Linked DNA regions of Ovis aries. The protein of the gene in region 2 interacts with the protein of the main gene of each other region in a biochemical or structural test. Links are inferred from orthologs where the notes say so. Each region holds a gene or a part of one and is shown on either strand. Other genes may lie near its edges.

Region 1 (3,515 bases), on a different chromosome or scaffold from region 2:
CCCCCGGCCTCTACAGCTGACCTGGCTGGAGAACGGAAACATGTCCCGAACAGAAGCGGCCTCAATCCTCGTAGAGAACAAGGACGGGACCTTTAACCAGACGAGCTGGCTCCTGGTGAACTCCTCTGCCCACAGGGAGGCTGTGGTGCTCACCTGCCAGGTGGAGCATGACGGGCAGCCGGCGGTCTCCAAAAACCATACCCTGGAAGTCTCTGCTCCCCAGAAGGACCAGGACACAGGTCAAACCCCTGGTGAGGTCACCACTGCAACTGACCCAGCTGTTAATCTTTTTTTTTAAATATTAAAGGTAGTAATTCATACTTTTTATAGAACAATGTAGAAGTCAATAGATATAAAATAGAACTTTAAAGTGAATTCCCACCTCCAAGAGTGACCACTGGTAAGAGTGTGGCATATTCTTTATAGATCTTTTGACATAAATATCCTTGAAAGAAAGAAAGCAGGGAAGGAGAGGGATTGTCCTGCTCGTGGTGTACTCTCACTTTCTTCTACTAACAGCTTCTGTGTTCACCATTCTCTGCCCGCCCACCTCCTCCACCTTGCTCTTTGTGAACTGAGCCTGCTCTCCCTGGCTGCCCCACTGGAATCGGGTTGGGGGCTCCAGGCGTCTGCGGCTTATCTCAAGTGTGATCAGTGCTGCACTAACTGCCCTTGTACACATTCTGTTACATGCGCAGCTATTTCTATGGGACGATTCCCAGGGAATGTTGCTAGGCCCAAGTGCCTAGATGATGGTGATGCTGCCACCCTCCTGGGAGAATGAAAGGTGTCAGGGTGTCATTGTCTCAGCCCCCGTCCAACTGGTTGTCGGCATATCTCCCTTTCTTCAGAATGACAGTGCCTGGTTGGCATTTTGGTGCCACTGTGGAATGTTCCATCACCTGTACCCTTGTACATAGCAAACCCTTTCAATGGATTAGAATAGAGGCCGTTTCCTTCCTTCGTGCATCCTGAAAGGGACAGCTCTAAAGAAGCCTTGGGGTCTGTCAAGTTGCCCTTTGATGCCACCATGAGCCCTGCCCTGGGAGACAGGATGTGTGGATCCACTCTGGCTGTCCGTCTCACTGGGGAGCTTGAACAAGTCGGTGCCTGTCTCTAGGCTGCTCCACCTGCCCCTGGCAGTGTTGAAGGAGGTGACCCTGGTGACCTCTCAGCTTTGAGTCTCAGCTGCTGGGACCATGGCTGTCTCAGCATTGTGGCTTCAGGACTGGGTAGGTAGTTGACACCCAAGAAATACTTTTAGAAAGGGTGAAAGAGTGAGTAGTTGGTTGATTAGTGAGGTGTTCCTCAGAGCTATTCAATGAAGTAGAGATGACTATTGGCCTCAATAACGTAAGAGGAAGCCAGTGCATGAGGGGATTTAAATGACCTGCTCAAGGTCGCTCAGTGAGGGCACTGATTTGAACCTGCATTTCTGTGGCTCAGAGCCCTGCTCCTGACTGCACACTGTCCTCCTGCGGGATCCCCTCCCTGTGCCTGGTGCCAGCCCCTGCACTGTCTCCATGTCAGGTGTCCTGGGCTCAGCCCTCCTGGGCCTAGGCCCAGGCATGGACCAGCACACTGCCTCGGGGCTCTGCATGTCCAGTGGCAGGTCACCCTCCTCACAACCCTTCCCTCTGTGGTGTGTGATGCCCCAGCTGCCATTAGGAGATCCAGGCAGACCTGTGTCCCCAGGTGGCCGCTCCATGGCTCACTCAGGTGAGGAGGAACGTATGTCTATTCCTCAGGAGGGCAATTCCACCCACACCCTGCAGCCGGGGTTCCTCCAAGGCTGACAGCAATGTTTCCCTCCTGGCACCTCGGCACAGATTTTGCGCTGCCTGTGGGTAACCCACAAGGGGAAGTGTGTGCAGATCCATGGACATGCCCACGGGGCCGAAACATCTGAGCCAGATATTCTCAGTTAATGATGCCTGCCTCGTGGTGAAAAGGGGAAGTGGCTTTTCCTTTTCTTTGTTTTAAATTTTCCTACATGAAACCTCTATTGTGTGTGGTCCTAGGCCAGAATGGCAACAACTGGAACGGCATCTTCATCGTGGTGGGCGTGGTGTGTGCCTTGCTGGTGGCCCTGCTGATCGCAGCCCTCTACCTCCTCCGAATCAGACAGAAGAAAGGTGGGTGGGTCCCCTGGTTCCTCCCTGAGAGTTTACCCCTGGGCTGTCCGTCCCAGACAGGGAGGGGTCTCTGCTTTGGGCTACACGTAGTTTAAATCATAAGGACGTCCAGTTACTCCCAGCAACAAGAAGTCCAGGGGTACCATTGCCTTGGCTGTGCAGCCCCTCCACAGGCTGAAATCTGGGTGGGCCCCCTACCCTGCAGCATCACTGCTCCAGGCCTCGCAGTCTCACAGAACCACTGCTGATATGGGAATCCGGGAGATGCCAGGGTGGCAAAAGGGTCTCAAGGAGGAAACGGTACTTCCCAGGAGCCCCTGGCAGACTTCTGCTTTCCCCTTACCTGTCCAGATTACGTGCCCAGCCCGCTGGCAGGAGGCTGGAAGGGAGTGGGGAGAACACCACCACCTACCTCCCAGGCTGTTGGGAGAATTAAATGAGTAACTGTGGGTACAGCAGTAGCAAGATGCCCGGCACAATAGCAAGTTCTCGATGTTAGCTCCTGTAATGAGTATTGTACGTGAGACCGGAAGCATGAACCACCTCCCTGGAAAGCTCCCCTCATAGTGGCAAGGTGTGTGGCCTTTGACTGCAGCAGGAGGGTAGAAGTTTCAATCCAGGACATTGTGACCTGTTTGCACTCATGCGTGCATGTGTGTGTATGTGTGTGTATGTGTGTGTATGTGTGTGTATGTGTGTGTCTGTGTAGTTGTTTCTGTCGCTGGGCCTCTTGACTTTGGAGTCAGATGAACCAGAATTCCAGATCCTTGTTTTATGCTCTAAACAATCAGTTTGGCCTCCATAAGCCTCAGTTTCCTCACCTGTAAAATGGACGTGGCAGTGCCTGCCTCGGAAGATAGTTATGAAACAAATAAGCTCATGGGCAACAACAGCGCTGACACACTGTCAGACCTAAAAAAATGCATGTCCTCTTTCCCACTCTTGAAGACTATTTTAAGCCAGTGTTTCTGAAACCTTTTTGGCTACAAGTGATAGAAATACATTTCATGTCTCAACCCGATGCACACACACCCCATCTATAAAATCGGAAGTCTGATATTTTCCTTTTTGTCATATTTTGTACTATATCCTCTTAAAAATGCTGTTTGTGACCCAGCACCACGTGCCGCAGCCGGCAGAGTGCCAAATGCCGTCCCGAGCTGCATTTCTGCACCCGGACCTCCAGGCAGAGCTTGACGGGCTTTATGTGCCTCAGCCACACACCCCTCCTGCACCCCCTCTCCTCTGGCCCCCAAGTTTCCCTCCCCGCTGGACGGCCTGGAGCACTCAGCCCTGAGACACTGCCTGAACCTCAAACTCCCATCTGAGAGGGCTGGCATCTCTAGAATCTACAAAGGGTTCTTCCAGGTGATCTGCAGG
Region 2 (4,227 bases):
TGAGCCCAGAGAGCCGGATGAGCAGGAAACCTCCCGGCAAACACTGCCAGTATTAGTACATTACACCACCACAGAGAAAGACGCCCCCTCTCTTGCTCCCCTCCTGCCTGTTTCCTTCACTGGGAATAACCTTTTGCAGGTTCAAGGGGCCCCTGCTGGACTGTTCCCCTTGGACACGCTGCTTCCTGTACAACCTGTATGGGATCACACAGTGTGTTTTCTATCACATTCTGGTAAGTGGTGGTTGTTTCTGACAACTAGAGACTTTAGCATTTTCTTATACACAGTTTCCTAGTTTTTGGTGCATAATATTGCACGATATTGAATATCTTTAATTCTTGTCTTGCACTTAGCTGCTCGTCGTATCCAACTCTTTGCCACCCCATGAACTGTAGCCCATCAGGCTCCTCTGTCCGTGGGATTTTTCAGGCAAGAATACTGGAGGGGGTTGCTATTTCTTCCTCCAGGGAATCTTCCTGACCCAGGTATTGAACCCACTTCTCCTGTGTCTCCCGCTTTGCAGGCAGATTATTTATCCTCTGAGCCACTGGGGAAGCCCCTGATTCTTCTCATTGGTCTCTATTCCCAGAAATCACACGACATCTTGGTGCACAGACACTTAGACTTTGGGGGTACCAGAAAATTAAATTCTGGGCATCTTGGTGCATCACCCTCCCAAGGTCAGCTTCATCCTTGTCCTCACAGACTCATTCATTCATCCATTAGAAAGTATTTGAAGTGAGCTCACAGAGGAAAGGCAAGGGCTGGGCCCCCAGGCCTTCAGATGCTCACGGAACTCCCTTCTGAGCTGGAAGCTGGTGCTGCCTGACCCTACAGAGGAGGAAACCGAGGCTCGAGCTGGGTTGGCCTTGGGGAGGCCCAGTGTTGCTCTGCCAGGAGGCTTCCAGTTCCAGGTGATGTTTTCCCCTTTAGTCTCAATTCTCCCTTAATTTCAAGGATGATGATAATATTCATGGTGGTTGACATTTTGAGGGCTTTCTTTGTGCCAGGCACCAACAGCTCTTTCCTAGGGCCAGGTACTGAAATAAGACTCTTGTTATAGTTGGCTAAGGGCGTTGGAGTCAGAAGGGTCCACTGAGTTGTCTGGACTCTGAGACTTACTTACCTGCCCAGACGGGAAGCTCTCTCCTTCCCCTCCCTGTGCCAGCGCTGTCCTCTCTCCGGGAGGCGTGGATTCCCGGAACGCGCGGGTTGCGCGCCCCGCGGCGCCAGGCCGGGAAGTGGCGTGGATCTCGACAGCGCCGCGCGGGAGGCGCCGGGGGCCCCGGAGGCGGGGCGGGGAGGGGCCGCCGGTGGCGGCGGCGCGCGGAGCAGACCGCAGTGCGGCCGGCGCTAGGACCCGCGGGGGCCGCTCAAGCTGCCGCGCCTCCCGCTCCCCCCACCCCGATTCCAGCCCTTCCCCCCCAAAATGAGGAAACGCAGCAACTTGCTCCAAGTTGTGCAGCCGGGGCCGCCTCGGGGTGCGCAGCCGGCGCGCGGGGGCCCTCCTGGGGGCGGACACGGAGTGCGGCCCAGGGGCGACCCCTGAACAGGTGAGGGCGCCGGAGGGGATAGTGGGGAAAGACCGTAGGACAGTGGGGGGGGCCCCAAGGGCCAGCGGGTAGGGGGATGCTGGGCGAACGAGGGAGGGGCCAGTGTGCGAGCGCCCGCGTCCGGGGCGTGCGGCCGGTACGCGGCTGGGGCGGGTATGGTTGGATGCGCCCAGGAGTCGGGTGGGGTGGTATTTTTGTGGGTGCGGGTATGCGCGTCTGCAACCCCTGGGTGTGTGTATCCGCGCGTCCACGTGGAGGGATGTGCGCGCGTGTCTCTGCGCTGCGTGTGCGCGGCCCTGCGTGTAGCCCTGCGTGCCCGGGTGGCCCAGCGTGTGGCGCCCAGGTGTTCAAGTGTGGGTTGGGGGGGGCGGCACACACGTTTCCGAATGTCTGTGCGTGTGTTCACACGTGAGACGTGTGTGCACAACTGTCTCTAGGAGAAACTGCTTTTGCTTGCATACCCGCGTGCCTGTGTCCACCTGTGTCCAAGCCCTGTGTGTTTCTGTGTGTTCTCGTGTGTACATGGATCAGTATGCGTGTGAGTACACAGAGGGCTGGGGATTTCTAGGGTGGAGACTCACTCCTCCCCACCTGTCCCACTGCTCTCGCCACCTGGTGGGATCCGTGGGGAAAGCAGAGGACAGAAATGCCCCCACCCCAGCAACTGTGCGGGACTTTGTTTCTGTCCTCTGTCCTCGGTTGGGGAGTAGGGGGGAGCGGTGTGGGGGGGAGTCAGATCAGAGACCCAGCCGGCAGCCAGAGGAGCCCAGCAGGGCGGCACTGCCGGGCCTCACCCCCGCCAGGGTCAGAGATTCTTGGGAATGACCTTGAATCATCCTCTGTTTCCTCATGTACCCCTGCCTACTTTACCAGAAAAGAGGAAGAACCAGGCTCCGTTTAGTGGCTCCAAGCGCCCCCAGTGTGGGCTGCTGGGGCCTGAGCCAGCCCCTGGCCACTCACTCTGAGCCTGCCCTGTGCCTCTGTTTCCCTTTGGGGATGACGGCGCAGCCAGGCTCCATGCTAAGGAACTCTCCCAGGGAAAGACCACCTCCCCTAAGGGGCTTGGGGATCCAGCCCTTGGGCCCCCCACAACCCCTGGGGGTTTGGGGGAGCCCGCCCGACTGTCGCCTCCACCTGGTCCAGGCTGGAAGCTATAGTCATGGCCCCTGGGCCCCCAGCCTGGCTTGAATCTTGAGCTCTCCAGCTGGTCTCTGCCCCTCCCCAGGGAAGCCCTCGCTTCCTCCACGCCTGGCACCCCTCACCCATCTCAGCCAGGATGCCGACAGTGAGTACTCCCAACTGGGTGCCTGGGCCTAGGCCCCTCCTCTCCTCCGTCCACAGGGCCTCAGCTCCACGGGGCTGGAGGGTGGGGGTGGGGGGCCATCTGACCCGTGTCCCCTTAGGCAGTGTCCGCAGGTCTTTTTCGGTCACTTGGTGTTTTTTCCCACTCTTTCCTCCCATCTTCTGCCCCGGGGGGTCCCTCTGTTTGTGACTCCGTTTCCCCTACTGGGTGCTCTGCGCACCCCCCACCCCCATCTCCTTTCTCCTGTGGTCTGTTCTGGGTCTCTGCCTCAATACAGTTTTTCTCTCTCTTTTGGGCCCCACCCCCCACCTCCACCATCTCTCTCATGACCCTTTTCCCACTCTCGCCACTACCCCCCAGAGGCGCTGGGCCCCTGGCACCCAGTGCATCACCAAGTGTGAGCACACGCGCCCCAAACCCGGGGAGCTGGCCTTCTGCAAGGGCGACGTGGTCACCATCCTTGAGGCCTGCGAAGTGAGTAGGGGGGAATGTGCTTGGAGAGAGGGGGGTGCTCCTCCAGGAAACATCTCCTCCCACTGACCCCTGGCTCCCTCCCGGCAGAACAAGAGCTGGTACCGTGCCAAGCACCACGCCAGCGGGCAGGAGGGGCTGCTGGCGGCTGGGGCGCTGCGGGAGCGCGAGGCCCTCTCGGCGGACCCCAAGCTCAGCCTCATGCCGTATGTCGTGGGGAAGCGCCCCTGGGACGTGGGTGGGGTCAGCAGGGCCCGGCCAGTCCCACCCAGCCCGCCCTTCCACCGGCCGCAGGTGGTTCCACGGGAAGATCTCGGGCCAGGAGGCGGTGCAGCAGCTGCAGCCGCCCGAGGACGGGCTGTTCTTGGTGCGGGAGTCCGCGCGGCACCCGGGTGACTACGTGCTGTGCGTGAGCTTCGGCAGCGACGTCATCCACTACCGCGTGCTGCACCGCGACGGCCGCCTGACCATCGACGAGGAGGCCTGCTTCTGCAACCTCATGGCTATGGTGGAGGTGCGGCCGCCCAGGCCTCCGGTGTAGAGATGTTGGCGGCCAGGCTTCAGCCTGTCCCAGCAGCTGGGGAGACATGGGACCCCCCCAGAGGCTCATGCTCCCCAGTGTGGACAAGGAGGCGCTGGTCCCTGGACCACCGACCACAGTTCCCCCACTCCGACCCATCTCCAGGGATACCCAGGAACCTCCAGTTTGACACCAGTCCCAAGACACACACCCCCATCCTCCTGTTTCCATGGAAACCAGCCTAGAGAGTCCTGTGGGAACCCACCCCCTCTCTTCCTCTTCAGCGCCCGCCCACCCCTCTGGAGAACCCCCTGGGAAGGGGATGGGAGGCAGGGGCTCCCCGGATGTGGGGGGTCACACTCACGGCTGCCTCTGCCCTG

The links. The genes of interacting proteins can lie anywhere in the genome.
Region 1: the proteins of MATK (region 2) and SIRPA form a complex in vitro, tested with the Homo sapiens proteins (3 studies listed by BioGRID, with this or other methods). The link is inferred for Ovis aries from reciprocal best matches to the Homo sapiens genes MATK and SIRPA.

The regions. Positions count from the first base shown.
Region 1 is NC_056066.1:52,923,731-52,927,245, reverse strand, and holds part of SIRPA (tyrosine-protein phosphatase non-receptor type substrate 1), read left to right. Parts: coding exon 1-251; intron 252-2,021; coding exon 2,022-2,135; intron 2,136-3,515. UniProt on the Homo sapiens protein: Immunoglobulin-like cell surface receptor for CD47. Acts as docking protein and induces translocation of PTPN6, PTPN11 and other binding partners from the cytosol to the plasma membrane.
Region 2 is NC_056058.1:17,991,763-17,995,989, forward strand, and holds the start of MATK (megakaryocyte-associated tyrosine-protein kinase), read left to right. Parts: upstream 1-1,426; 5' UTR 1,427-1,553; intron 1,554-1,990; 5' UTR 1,991-2,085; coding exon 2,086-2,091; intron 2,092-2,696; exon of another isoform or gene 2,697-2,778; coding exon 2,779-2,838; intron 2,839-3,216; coding exon 3,217-3,330; intron 3,331-3,417; coding exon 3,418-3,533; intron 3,534-3,621; coding exon 3,622-3,841; intron 3,842-4,227.